Ovis aries: one gene and its partners. The protein of the gene in region 2 purifies or fractionates together with the protein of the main gene of each other region. This does not show direct contact. Links are inferred from orthologs where the notes say so. Each region holds a gene or a part of one and is shown on either strand. Other genes may lie near its edges. The genes, in order: PPP2CB, STRIP1 and SLMAP.

Region 1 (4,171 bases), on a different chromosome or scaffold from region 2:
ACTGCCTCGGGAGGTCAGCAAACCAGGAGGTCAGTGATCACCCCAGCCTTAGCGATAAGGAGTAGGAGGGGCAGGGCTGCGCAGCCATCAAGCTGTGGAGCCAGGGTCTGAACGCAGGCTGGCCATTATAAACAAATGCTGCACTCAGCAGGAAAAAGGAGGGCAGAGGTAGGGAAGTAAAATGGAGCTGTAAGGTTAGATGACAGAAAATCAACACCACAAAGGTTTGCCACAGCTGCTGGCAAGGGGCTCCACACTAAGCACCGCTGAGAAGGGTAGGGGCTGCGGGGGGCACGCCACTCTGCTCCAGCCCTCCACATCCCTGGCAAAAGCAGAGGATAAAGATAAATGACAAAGCACTGCCACTTAAAAATTCGTGTTTGGTGGAAAAGTACAAATATTCAGAGAAAAAAGTAGGTAAGATATAAGCTTAAATATACCTCAAAGAAACTAGGGACTGGCAGTTCAACTTATTTAGGAGCTGAAGTCAAAATAATCTCTCTGGACAAATTCAGAAAGCTTGCTCAGGTGACGAAGGATCAAGTGTGATCGAGGAGGGGTGCAACATTCTTCTCCCGAAAGACGTCTTAAAATTATCAGACAGTCAGAGGGAAAAACTGATTCAACTACCAACTTTGCCCACCACTTAAAGTCTATGTCTACTAGTCACAGAGAGGTTAACTGACTCAGCTAATTTCACAACTGGGTATTTCACCCGACAGTCAAGCCTGAGAGAGACAGCGATTTAAAACATCAATCTTAAAACGTGAAATTACAGGTTATCACACAAGAAAATTGAATGTAGCCAGAACCTGAAGCAGTCCATAAGCAATTTGTCTCAGAAACACAAATATACCACTTTTTGGTAGTTCTATTTACAGAAATACATCCTCCTGTATCAATACACAGCTATTTAGTAGACTCACAGACATAGAAAACAAACTAAGGGTTACCAAAAGGGGATGGGGAGGGGATAAATTAGCAGTTTGCGATTAACATATACACACTACTTTATGTAAAAGAAACAAGAACCTTCTGTATAGCACAGAGAACTATACCCAATGTCACGTAATAACCTATAATGAAAAAGAACCTGAAAAAGAATATTGTGTATTTATAGCTGAACAAGTTTGTTGAACACTTAAATGCAACATTATACTTTTAAAAAAAAATTGTTAGTACATAAAAACCCAAAACAACGTTACACTTAATTTAAAAAATAAAACACTATTTTAAACTTAGCATTAACTCTTCCATTCCTAAGACATTTAATTTTAAGGGTACTCTATAAATAATATTAATAAAATCTTTCCTTCAATGCCTTTCTGAAGCATCCTGCTTTCCAAACAAAATCAAGAAAGTCTTAGGGAGTATGGCTTAAAAATAAATAACAATTCAAAAGCATTAAAGAATAAATAATTTTGTTACTCCTCCACGAGACCTTTTTACATAAAAATAGTCTAGGCTATAAAAGATGAATGAGAAAAAATGTAAAGTCCAAAATAATTCCAGTGATTAAGAAAAAAATGGATACAGAATTCAGAAGATTGTCTACGATCACACAATCAAGAGCGACTGAAAACAGTAAACCACCTGCATATTTTATTACTTTTTGGAAATGAAAAAAAAACCTTACATGTAACAGCAACAGAAATAACCTTCTGAAAAGTGCTACCCTTCAGGAGAAACACATACCCCACTTATCATTTCAGGTAAGCACTGTTGCCAAACTTAAGACTTGCCGTCTTGTTTCTGAAAAATCAAACATTTTTGCTTCCAAAGAGCCTCTCAACGTGAAGACCAGCCACCATCTGTCTCAACTAGAGTCAACTTCTATTTTAAAAAATCACAGTCTGCCATCACACCCACCTCTCTACAAACAAATGCCTGACGCGTTACCAAGTATTAGCGATGTTTGAAGGGCCGAGTCACCTGAGAAAAAGCCTCTGTTTATTATTACCACGCGCGTTGATAATTCACAACACCCAGGCTCATTTCGGTGCACTTTCCATTACGAGGCTGCAGGAGATTAATCTGCTTGGCGGCTGAAGCTTCGGGATTGCCAGTCCGCCCGGGTTAATGCTGGGGTTGTCAGCAACCCTCACTAGAGCGCCGGTCACCCCACAATCACACTTGGGTGATGAATTCCAGGTGTCACGGAGCCCCCGCCCACCCATCCCAGACGCCTTAGGTCTGGATCCGGGGCGGTGCGGGGGGGGGGGGGGGGTCCGGGCCTAACCAAGGGCTGTGTCCCGAGAGGGGTCCTGGAAAGGCCCGGCCCCGCCCAGGGGCTGAAGCCGAGCATGAGACGCAGCTCCGTCTGGACCCGGTGCCGGGATGAAGGCGGGCGGGCGGCCCGGGAGGGGAAAGACGAGGGGTCCCCGCACCGCCCACCCCGCACCCAGCCGAAGCTCCCCGGCCGCACCTCGCCCCTCTTCTCGCTCACCTTTTCACACAGCGTCCGGACTTGGTTCTCGTTAAGCTGTTTACACTCATTCAGCTGCTCGACCCACTGGTCCAGGTCCTTAGTGAACGCCTTGTCGTCCATGGCGGCCCCCGCCCCTCCGCCGCCGCCTCCTCCCGCCCCCCGCGCGCCCCCGCCCCGGGCGCCGCTCCCCTAGCCCCCCGCCGCCGCCGCCGCCGCCGCCCAGCTCCCGGCGGGGGAGGGAGGAGCCGGGCACTGCGGACCCCGCGCCCCGCCCAAGCCCCTCGGGCGGCTCCGAGCGCGCGGCCTCCGGGAGACCCCCGCCCGCCCCGGCCCGCCGGCCCGCGCGCCCCGAGAGTCGGTGAAGGCCGCGGGGACGTGCGGGGCTTCCGCGCAGCTGCCGCCGGAGGATGGGCACCCGCCGCCTGCCGCCCGCCAGCCGCTCTCGCCTCCCTGGCTCCTTCTCTCTCGCTCTTTCTCTCCCCTCCCTCCGGCTTTCCGTCATCGCCCGGGCATTTCCGCCGGGAAAAAAGGCGAGCGGGCGGCGCCGCCGGGCCCGGGACTCGAGAAGGCCTGCAGCGCCCCGTGTGGCGCGGCGGAGAAACAGGCCGACGGGCGCGCCGCTGTCTCGCTTTTCCCTTTTGTATCGTACTTCTCCACTCGGGTCCAGACCAGTCTCTCCTCGCTTTTCCCTTTACGTCCTTTTCTCTGAGAATTTTTTTTTCTTCTTCTTTTTTAGCGCTATGGAGAGAGAACTGGGAAGCTTGTGCTTCTCCTTGACCACATAGTCTCCCCAGAGTCTAGCACTGTCCCATAGCCGGCGTTCATTACCTATTAAACAGATACATACGTAAATTCTTCCATATCTTAGCTTTGTCATTAAGCAAGCTGTAGGGCACCGACATCTCGAATCCTCCCTTTAGGCATCAGAAACACGAATCGATTACTCTGTGATTATCAATCAGTTGTCCCTTCCAGCTCCAGCATTCTTCACCACATTTATGCAGTGTTTACTGAGCTCTATTGATTTGTTCACTCAGCAAATGTTCATCGAGCAACTGCTAACTGCCAGATACCCTGGAGAGCAGGTGGTCACCAACCATACTTCCTCTACTAGACAAGTGGCGGCAGGCAGCATCCTTTATCAGAAGGCAAGAGCCCCCTCTTGGCATCGCCAACCTCCTCGCTGTGTCCTTGGACAATGACCAGATTGCCCCCAGCCTCTGAGTCCTCATTTGTTGCAAAGGTGCGGTAAGGCCTGCCTTTTCAAGTTGTGAAGATTAAATTCTACAAGAGCTTATCCGATAGTACAGAATGGAACTCATGTTCCTTGCCTTACTATCCCTACTAGGCAACAGCTACCGAAAGGTTTTCTCCCCGGGGCAAAACGTTGAAGTTGCCTGGAGAAGGGAAAAGAAATTACACCGATTTGTTTTTTGGACGGTGGCAGAGGACAAATGTGTGAAAGACTGAGGTCTTTTCGGGAAGCTATAAATACTCCTAGCGTCGGAAGTCAGTCATATGGTGGGAAATATGGCTGGAAAGCTCCTGTTCTCAAGTGCCTTGTAAATAGCAGCAAAGCAGTTGAGGACAGAACGTGAAAAGATGGCGAAACAGTACTGAACAAACAGGATACCTGCCGTGATTCAGGAGATTTGCGGTCTCCGAGGAGGTTCGTCTATAAAGGTTGAAAGGTTGAGTTTCAGCTAAACCTGTCAAGCTCAGAATGAAATGAGAGTAAGAATA
Region 2 (3,647 bases):
TCACCCTTTCTCTCGTGATAAAAAGCCTCGTGTGGAGGACTGTTTCTCTGCACATTTGCGCAGAGCTCAGGGAGGTTTGAAGGCCAAGCCTCTGTTCTTTGGGGCCTGAGGAGCAGCACTGCCCAAGGGCCTGGCCCCGTGGACAGAAGGAAGGGGCTGTAGATACCTGATAGACGTGGTTCAGCTTGAAGTGCTTCAGCAACAGCAGCAGGACGGCAGAAATGGCCTTAACGATGACCTCTTTGTGGCGGTTCACATCCACTCCCAGCTTCATGCTCTGCAGCACTGTGGTGCTAGAAGCACAACCCCGGGTGAGGCCCCAGCATGTGCAGCACCTCCTGCCTGGCGCTCCCAGGAGACAGGACTCCTGAGCCTTCTCGGGGCAGAGCTCCCACCTAACCCTCCACCCTACGGACATCTCAGAGGTTAGGCCTGGCTCCTCCCACCCACCTCCCAAGCAATCTAGCTCAGTACACCTGACTTCTTCCTTCTGATGCCCCAAACATATTCTTGGCCTATTTCCCTGCTTTTCCTCCAAAACTGAACTTCTCATCTCAAGATCTTCCTGAGGCTTCTGCCATCATATGTACTTGTGTTTCTCAGAGCATGTTCTGTTGGAATACCAGCATATTGAGATGGCTCTTGTTATGGGGAAAAGGGGTTCAGAGTCAAATAAATTTAGGAAGCATTTACTTAAATCAGTTTCTTAAGTTTGGAGTTAAGTTCTTAATTAAGGAGTTAACTATAAATCTTTATAAGAGGAGATTTAATATTTGACTCTGGAATCCTTTTTCCAAGGACCATCAGATGCCCTGGCATTCTCTAACGTCCCCTTTGGTGTTAGCCAACCCGCCTACTCCCTCACTGGCTGTCACCACTAGACTCAAGTGGCCAGCCCACCAGGGAGTTAGGCTCAGAGCTGGGCAGTCCTGGCAAGCAGGCAGGAGATCAGGTGCCCAGGTCCTTCTCAAAGTAGAACGTGATCTGAGTTTGTACTCTCAGATCAAAAACATGAGGTCAGGGCCTCAGGAAGGAAGAACCCCTGGAGATTTCACTATTACCCTGGGACGTTCAAAAATATTTTTCATGCCAGTTCACTGGTGAATAGTAAAGAATCTACACCCAGCTCCAATGGCTGATTTTTGTGCAGAAGCTAAAACTGTATGTCCTGAACGTCCTAAGCACATAGCTTTCAAGGGAGCACTTGGGGAAATGTCAGACACAGCCCTATTCATTTAACAGAGGAGGAAGAGGAAGTGACGTCTCCAATTCACTCAGTTGCAGAGTTTACACTAGAATCCAGGCCAATCAGATGAAAGTGTCCCCACAAGCAGTAAAACTAATTATTTTACCCAGTACATTTTCTTTCTTCTAAACCAAGAATACCCTAAACTTAATCTGCAGAGAAGCTGAGCTAATGTAACAGCAGCAGCAGCAACAACAAAACAAAGAACCACCACCACCCAGCAACACGTCCCCTTTCTGTACATCCTCAACTCTCAAGACTTGATACTCACGGCATCTCCTCAGGCAGGACGTCAGCTAGGATGTTGATTGAGTCTGTTTTGGCCTTCGAGGTGGGAGCTGCAGCCAGCAGGATCTTCAGTAGCGCTATCTGGCAAGGAGCAGACATTCACACAGCATGCTGAGAGGGCCCCAGGCAGCATAAACTCCTGAGAGGCGGTGCTTTTAGAGGTGCTTAGGGGGCAAAAGGAGGGGCTCAAGGACACCAGTGGCATGCTCTCAAGGCCTGTTGTGGGGCGGTGACCACATGGCAGGCAGAGCTCTCAGGAGGTGCGCACTCACCATGTACTGTGGCAGGCTGGGGAGCAAGCCTTGGTAGAGAGTTTCTGCAGGGACCTGTTCAACTTCCTCTTCTCCCTTTCAACACAATGCATATAAGGGGCACTGATACAAAGCCTGGTCCTGACAATGCTCTCCTGAGCCAGCCTGCTAGCTGGCTGGAGGAGAATCTCTAAGTATGGACGTAAACGACAATGCTAATAATGATCACAAACTTTTAATAACAAAATGTGCCAGGTACTTCACTTGTAAAGACACAATGAATCCTTACTACAACTCTATGAAGAAAGTACTATTGTTATTTCCATTTAACAGGCTAGGAAGGGAAAGCAGAAGGAGATCGAGTACCTTGCCTAAGTCACCATCCACCAAGGGGTGGCGCTGGGATTGAGAGGTAGGTGGCGGGCCCAGAGTCTGTGCTCTTACCCCTGCACCCGACACGCAGCAGCCCTGCAGCGGGAGCCAGACTGGGAGCTATGTGAGGGCGGGCCAGGATGCTCTGCAGCCTAGGCCTATACAGTGCTGGGAACGGCTGGGATCCGGTGAGCTGAGGAAGGCCCCCAACTCACCCCCGAGAGAGGAGAGCGGAGGTACTCCTCCTCCATCTGTGCCTGGACCTCTGCAATCGATGTGTACTTGTGCTGCAAAGAGAGGGAGAGAGACATTAGGGCAAACACCTCGCATTCTCTGGCCAAATGCCCACACCTGGGAAAGACCCCATGCAATTTTCTTCAAACATCATCTTCTCAAAGAGGGCTAAGTCACCACAGAGATCCTGAACTAAAACCCCAACCCAAAATATTTTTCTAAGTGGGCACCTGTCTCTTAAAACCAGTATAAAGAAAGCACAGAACAGGTTAGGGGGAAACAGGCAAATTAAAGGAGAGGAGGGGACTTGCAGACAGCTACAGCTATAGGAGGAAACGTAAAAGCAGAATCAAGGACTCAAGTACACAGAATCAAGGACTCAAATACTCAAAAAGCCTAGCTGCATGAGGCCCACCTAGTACTACAAATTTCAAAATTATATTTCAAAAATATATGAACACTTATATTGCAGATACACTCTTAGGGAACACCCCTCTTCCTCACTGTGCTGTTTCCTCCCACTGGAGGGACACGTGTGTACCAAACACCCTGGTCTCTCCCCACCGCCGCCCACTCACTCCTCCCCTTCCTGACTGGCCAGCATGGGAGGAGGAACAGGACAGTCTCGCTCAACCTCTTTCTCTTCTCTCTTAAGGAAAAAGAAAAGCCTGTGCACGCTTCTGCTCCTTGCCTAGGCTGAGCAGGGCTCCAGGCCTCTCTGGTCTGGGCAGGCGAGTCTGCCTAACTTTGGAAGGGAGGTGTCAGGACACCTCCTGCAGCTATGCTCCCATATCACTCCATCGGCAACAAGCTGGCATTTGAATCTCCACCTGCCTACTCCTCTAACTCAACTCCCTGAACTTGGGCAAGGAAAACGGAGGCTATGTCCTAGGCCCCTTAAAACGCCAACTGTCAGTTAATAGAATCTTTAATGGGTACCCCAGTAAGTACCCAATAAAAAACGCTCAGTTAAAATAAGTAAAACGCATGAAAAAGTGTTTTCAAGGATACTGCCACTGTCCACCTATTACTCCACCCCTGGTTCCTTCAGGCAGACAGAAGTCTAAAAAAGCTTCTCCCAACAGGATGGTATCACTTTACTCACTTGGGACCAAACTAGGCCAAAAGCATACCTGAAGCCACCTACCTGTTTCAGAGTCTTAATGCTTTCGTGGATTGGCCTGGGCAGCCCCACCACTGTGTTCGTGTCACTGGAGAAGAACAAAGGCCCTGTGTTAGGTCTGGGTCCTCAAACA
Region 3 (3,647 bases), on a different chromosome or scaffold from region 2:
CCATGATCTTCGTTTTCTGAATGTTGAGCTTTAAGCCAACTTTTTCACTCTCCTCTTTCACTTTCATCAAGAGGCTTTTAGTTCCTCTTCACTTTCTGCCATAAGGGTGGTGTCATCTGCATATCTGAGGTTATTGATATTTCTCCCGGCAATCTTGATTCCAGCTTGTGTTTCTTCCAGTCCAGCGTTTCTCATGATGTACTCTGCTTATAAGTTAAATAAGCAGGGTGACAATATCCAGCCTTGACGTACTCCTTTTCCTATTTGGAACCAGTCTGTTGTTCCATGTCCAGTTCTAACTGTTGCTTCCTGACCTGCATACAGATTCCTCAAGAGGCAGGTCAGGTGGTTTGGTATTCCCATCTCTTTCAGAATTTTCCACAGCTTATTGTGATCCACACAGTCAAAGGCTTTGGCATAGTCAAGAAAGCAGAAATAGATGTTTTTCTGGAACTCTCTTGCTTTTTCCATGATCCAGTGGATGCTGGCAATTTGATTTCTGGTTCCTCCGCCTTTTCTAAAACCAGCTTGAACATCAGGGAGTTCACGGTTCACGTATTGATGAAGTCTGGCTTGGAGAATTTTGAGCATTACTTTACTAGCATGTGAGATGAGTGCAACTGTGCGGTAGTTTGAGCATTCTTTTGCATTGCCTTTCTTTGGAATTGAAATGAAAACTGACCTTTTCTAGTCCTGTGGCCACTGCTGAGTTTTCCAAACTTGCTGGCATATTGAGTGTAGCACTTTCACAGCATCATCTTTCAGGATTTGAAACAGCTCAACTGGAATTCCATTACCTCCACTAGCTTTGTTCGTAGTGATGCTTTCTAAGGACCACTTGACTTCACATTCCAAGATGTCTGGCTCTAGATTAGTGATCACATCATCATGATTATCTGGGTCGTGAAGATCTTTTTTGTACAGTTCTTCCGTGTATTCTTGCCACCTCTTCTTAATATCTTCTGCTTCTGTTAGGTCCAGACCATTTCTGTCCTTTATTGAGCCCATCTTTGCATGAAATGTTCCCTTGGTATCTCTAATTTTCTTGAAGAGATCTCTAGTCTTTCCCATTCTGTTGTTTTCCTCTATTTCTTTGCACTGATCGCTGAAGAAGGCTTTCTTATCTCTTCTTGCTATTCTTTGGAACTCTGCATTCAGATGCTTATATCTTTCCTTTTCTCCTTTGCTTTTCGCCTCTCTTCTTTTCACAGCTATTTGCAGGGCCTCCCCAGACAGCCATTTTGCTTTTTTGCATTTCTTTTCCATGGGGATGGTCTTGATCCCTGTCTCCTGTACAATGTTACAAACCTCATTCTATAGTTCATCAGGCACTCTATCTATCAGATCTAGACCCTTAAATCTATTTCTCACTTCCACTGTATAATCATAAGGGATTTGATTTAGGTCATGTATTATTACTTTTTACATAACCCTGTTTGATAAGGAAAAGCTGATTCTGTCTCAATAATATCAATTCTTTTATCACAGCCATCTTCTGATGAACCTTATAAACAGAAGGGATCACTGGCATGAAAGAAAAAAACAAACTTGTATTTGAAATTTATTACCATTTAGCTTACAGGTGAATTTAATCATAGATCATTTGCTGCTTGTTTGCTTAGAGCTTTTGGGAATGGGGGTGGGAAGGCGGCATTTATGAATCTGTATTCCATGAATACACCCAAAGGAAAGGACATAGAGGTGGTGCCAGAAAAAAAGTGCTTCAGTACTCATTTAGTGGGGTTAATCTACCAAGTAGCCAGAAAAGAGCCTGGCTGAATATTTTGTTCCAAAAGGTATTTAAATATCAAAATTAAATTAAATTTAGATGAAAATCTAAGATACAGAAATATTTTGAACCTAAATAAGAGTTCATGCATACTTGTGCAATTCTTTTTCTTGCCGCTGCAGTTCTGAAGATAGCAAAACATTTTCCTTTTTTAGAGAACGGCATTCGGTATCCAATACATTCCATTCCTTTCTCAACTTCTCTAGTTCACCTAAAATAGTCCCAAAACACATTTGTTAATATAGGAACATAACTATTTTTTCCCCTTTAAAAAACAAAGATTTTATATGGCTTTTCCTTGATTTCTGTTACTTTGCAGTTATGCCTCAAGGAAGTTCTCATCATCCTGAACTCCAGTAATATTTTTTTCCCCACTTCACTTTTACAAGACAAATAATTTTTAATAGTATTTAAATAAATAAATGTAAAATTGCAAATTTTTTCAATTCACTGTAGAGCTTACAGATGTGAAGAACGTTTATAGCCTCAATATAAAAACACTGCTTTTATACAATCAATCGTTACGGAAGAGAAAATTAGCCTGACTGCATTCGATTCAGTACAAGTTATGAAGTTATCAGTGTCAAGCATTAAGAGTTTTATGTAAAGTACATTTCTCACCTTGCAGCCTGGTTGCTTCTTCCCTCTGCTGGTCCTCGCACTGTTGACACCGAAGCTGAAAGCTATTTTGCAAACTCATGATTTCTTTCTCATATTCAGATGCTGCTTTCCGCCACCGCTCAAGCTCAGCTCGCACTTTCTTAAGCTCTTCTTGTAAAGAAGCAATGTCAGTGTCCCTCTCAGAGGCAGCCTTTTCTGCCGCTTGATGAAGGAGTAAAATTTCATCTCGGGCACTAAGCAATTCATCTCGGGTACTTGCGATTTCACTGTCCTTCTCCTCCCGGAGATTCTCGATATTGATGTGTAACCTCTGTAGTTGGGCTATAAAAGTATAGTTACTCATCATTTTCTTAGTCCCAGTAATCAGGAATAAAAGAACAGTCCATATGGGACTGTAGTTACTGCACAGCCCAGGCTGTCAGAGCCGTTTGTTGCTTTTGATTAAACTGTACGAGCAATCCATGTTTAATGCATAAAACATCAAAATACAGAAAAACAAAGAGAGGAAAAAAACTCAAAGTCATCTTTATTTCTCCCACACAGAGAAAATTACTTCTAACATTTGGTACTTATTTTCCCAGATTTTTTCTAAGCATTTATACATATATGAAAACAAAAATTGGGAGCAATCATAATGAATACAGTGCTCTCTATACTGCGGGTGATAAATATTTTTTAACGACAAAACAGCTATATTAACTTTCTTCACTAATCCTTTATTTCAGATATATTACGCTGTTGAGTTTTTAATTACTGATGACAATACATCTTATAATGCAATCTTGATTTTTTTCCTCCCGTAAGGGTGAATTCATAGACACAGAACTGCTTGGTCAGATGGTAAACATTAATAAAACCTTTGATATTCTTAACTCAATTTTCTGTTTAATTGTCAATTCCTTAAAGCAGTTTTCTCTGCCGGCTTATCTAAAAATAGTCCACTGTCATTCTCTAGTCCTTTGCTCTGCTCTTACTGGATATCACATTATATACTTATTTGCTTATTGTTCATCTTTTTCACTACATGGTACATCTCATGTATACTATCCTCAAGACTAGAAGAGTAAAGAACCAAGGATTATCGGTTGAATTAATGAATTAATAAAGTTACTGAATACTGCCTAGTCAGAGGTATATTTTTTAAAGCTCTGGTCTTGTTGATGTGAACTGGAAACAATCTGTATAAAATCATGCTGGGTTCAGAACTAGAATACTGGTCTTGGTTACTATAACACAA

The links.
Region 1: the proteins of STRIP1 (region 2) and PPP2CB purify together in Homo sapiens (affinity purification with mass spectrometry; 6 studies listed by BioGRID and IntAct, counting the BioPlex papers as one, with this or other methods). This does not show direct contact. The link is inferred for Ovis aries from reciprocal best matches to the Homo sapiens genes STRIP1 and PPP2CB.
Region 3: the proteins of STRIP1 (region 2) and SLMAP purify together in Homo sapiens (affinity purification with mass spectrometry; 4 studies listed by BioGRID and IntAct, with this or other methods). This does not show direct contact. The link is inferred for Ovis aries from reciprocal best matches to the Homo sapiens genes STRIP1 and SLMAP.

The regions. Positions count from the first base shown.
Region 1 is NC_056079.1:26,064,015-26,068,185, forward strand, and holds the start of PPP2CB (serine/threonine-protein phosphatase 2A catalytic subunit beta isoform), read right to left. Parts: upstream 2,899-4,171; 5' UTR 2,549-2,898; coding exon 2,447-2,548; intron 1-2,446.
Region 2 is NC_056054.1:87,356,795-87,360,441, reverse strand, and holds part of STRIP1 (striatin-interacting protein 1), read right to left. Parts: intron 3,603-3,647; coding exon 3,539-3,602; intron 2,445-3,538; coding exon 2,373-2,444; intron 1,882-2,372; coding exon 1,807-1,881; intron 1,616-1,806; coding exon 1,518-1,615; intron 294-1,517; coding exon 167-293; intron 1-166. UniProt on the Homo sapiens protein: Plays a role in the regulation of cell morphology and cytoskeletal organization. Required in the cortical actin filament dynamics and cell shape. Part of the striatin-interacting phosphatase and kinase (STRIPAK) complexes.
Region 3 is NC_056072.1:43,446,678-43,450,324, forward strand, and holds part of SLMAP (sarcolemmal membrane-associated protein), read right to left. Parts: intron 2,732-3,647; coding exon 2,411-2,731; intron 2,001-2,410; coding exon 1,883-2,000; intron 1-1,882. UniProt on the Homo sapiens protein: Associates with the striatin-interacting phosphatase and kinase (STRIPAK) core complex, forming the extended (SIKE1:SLMAP)STRIPAK complex.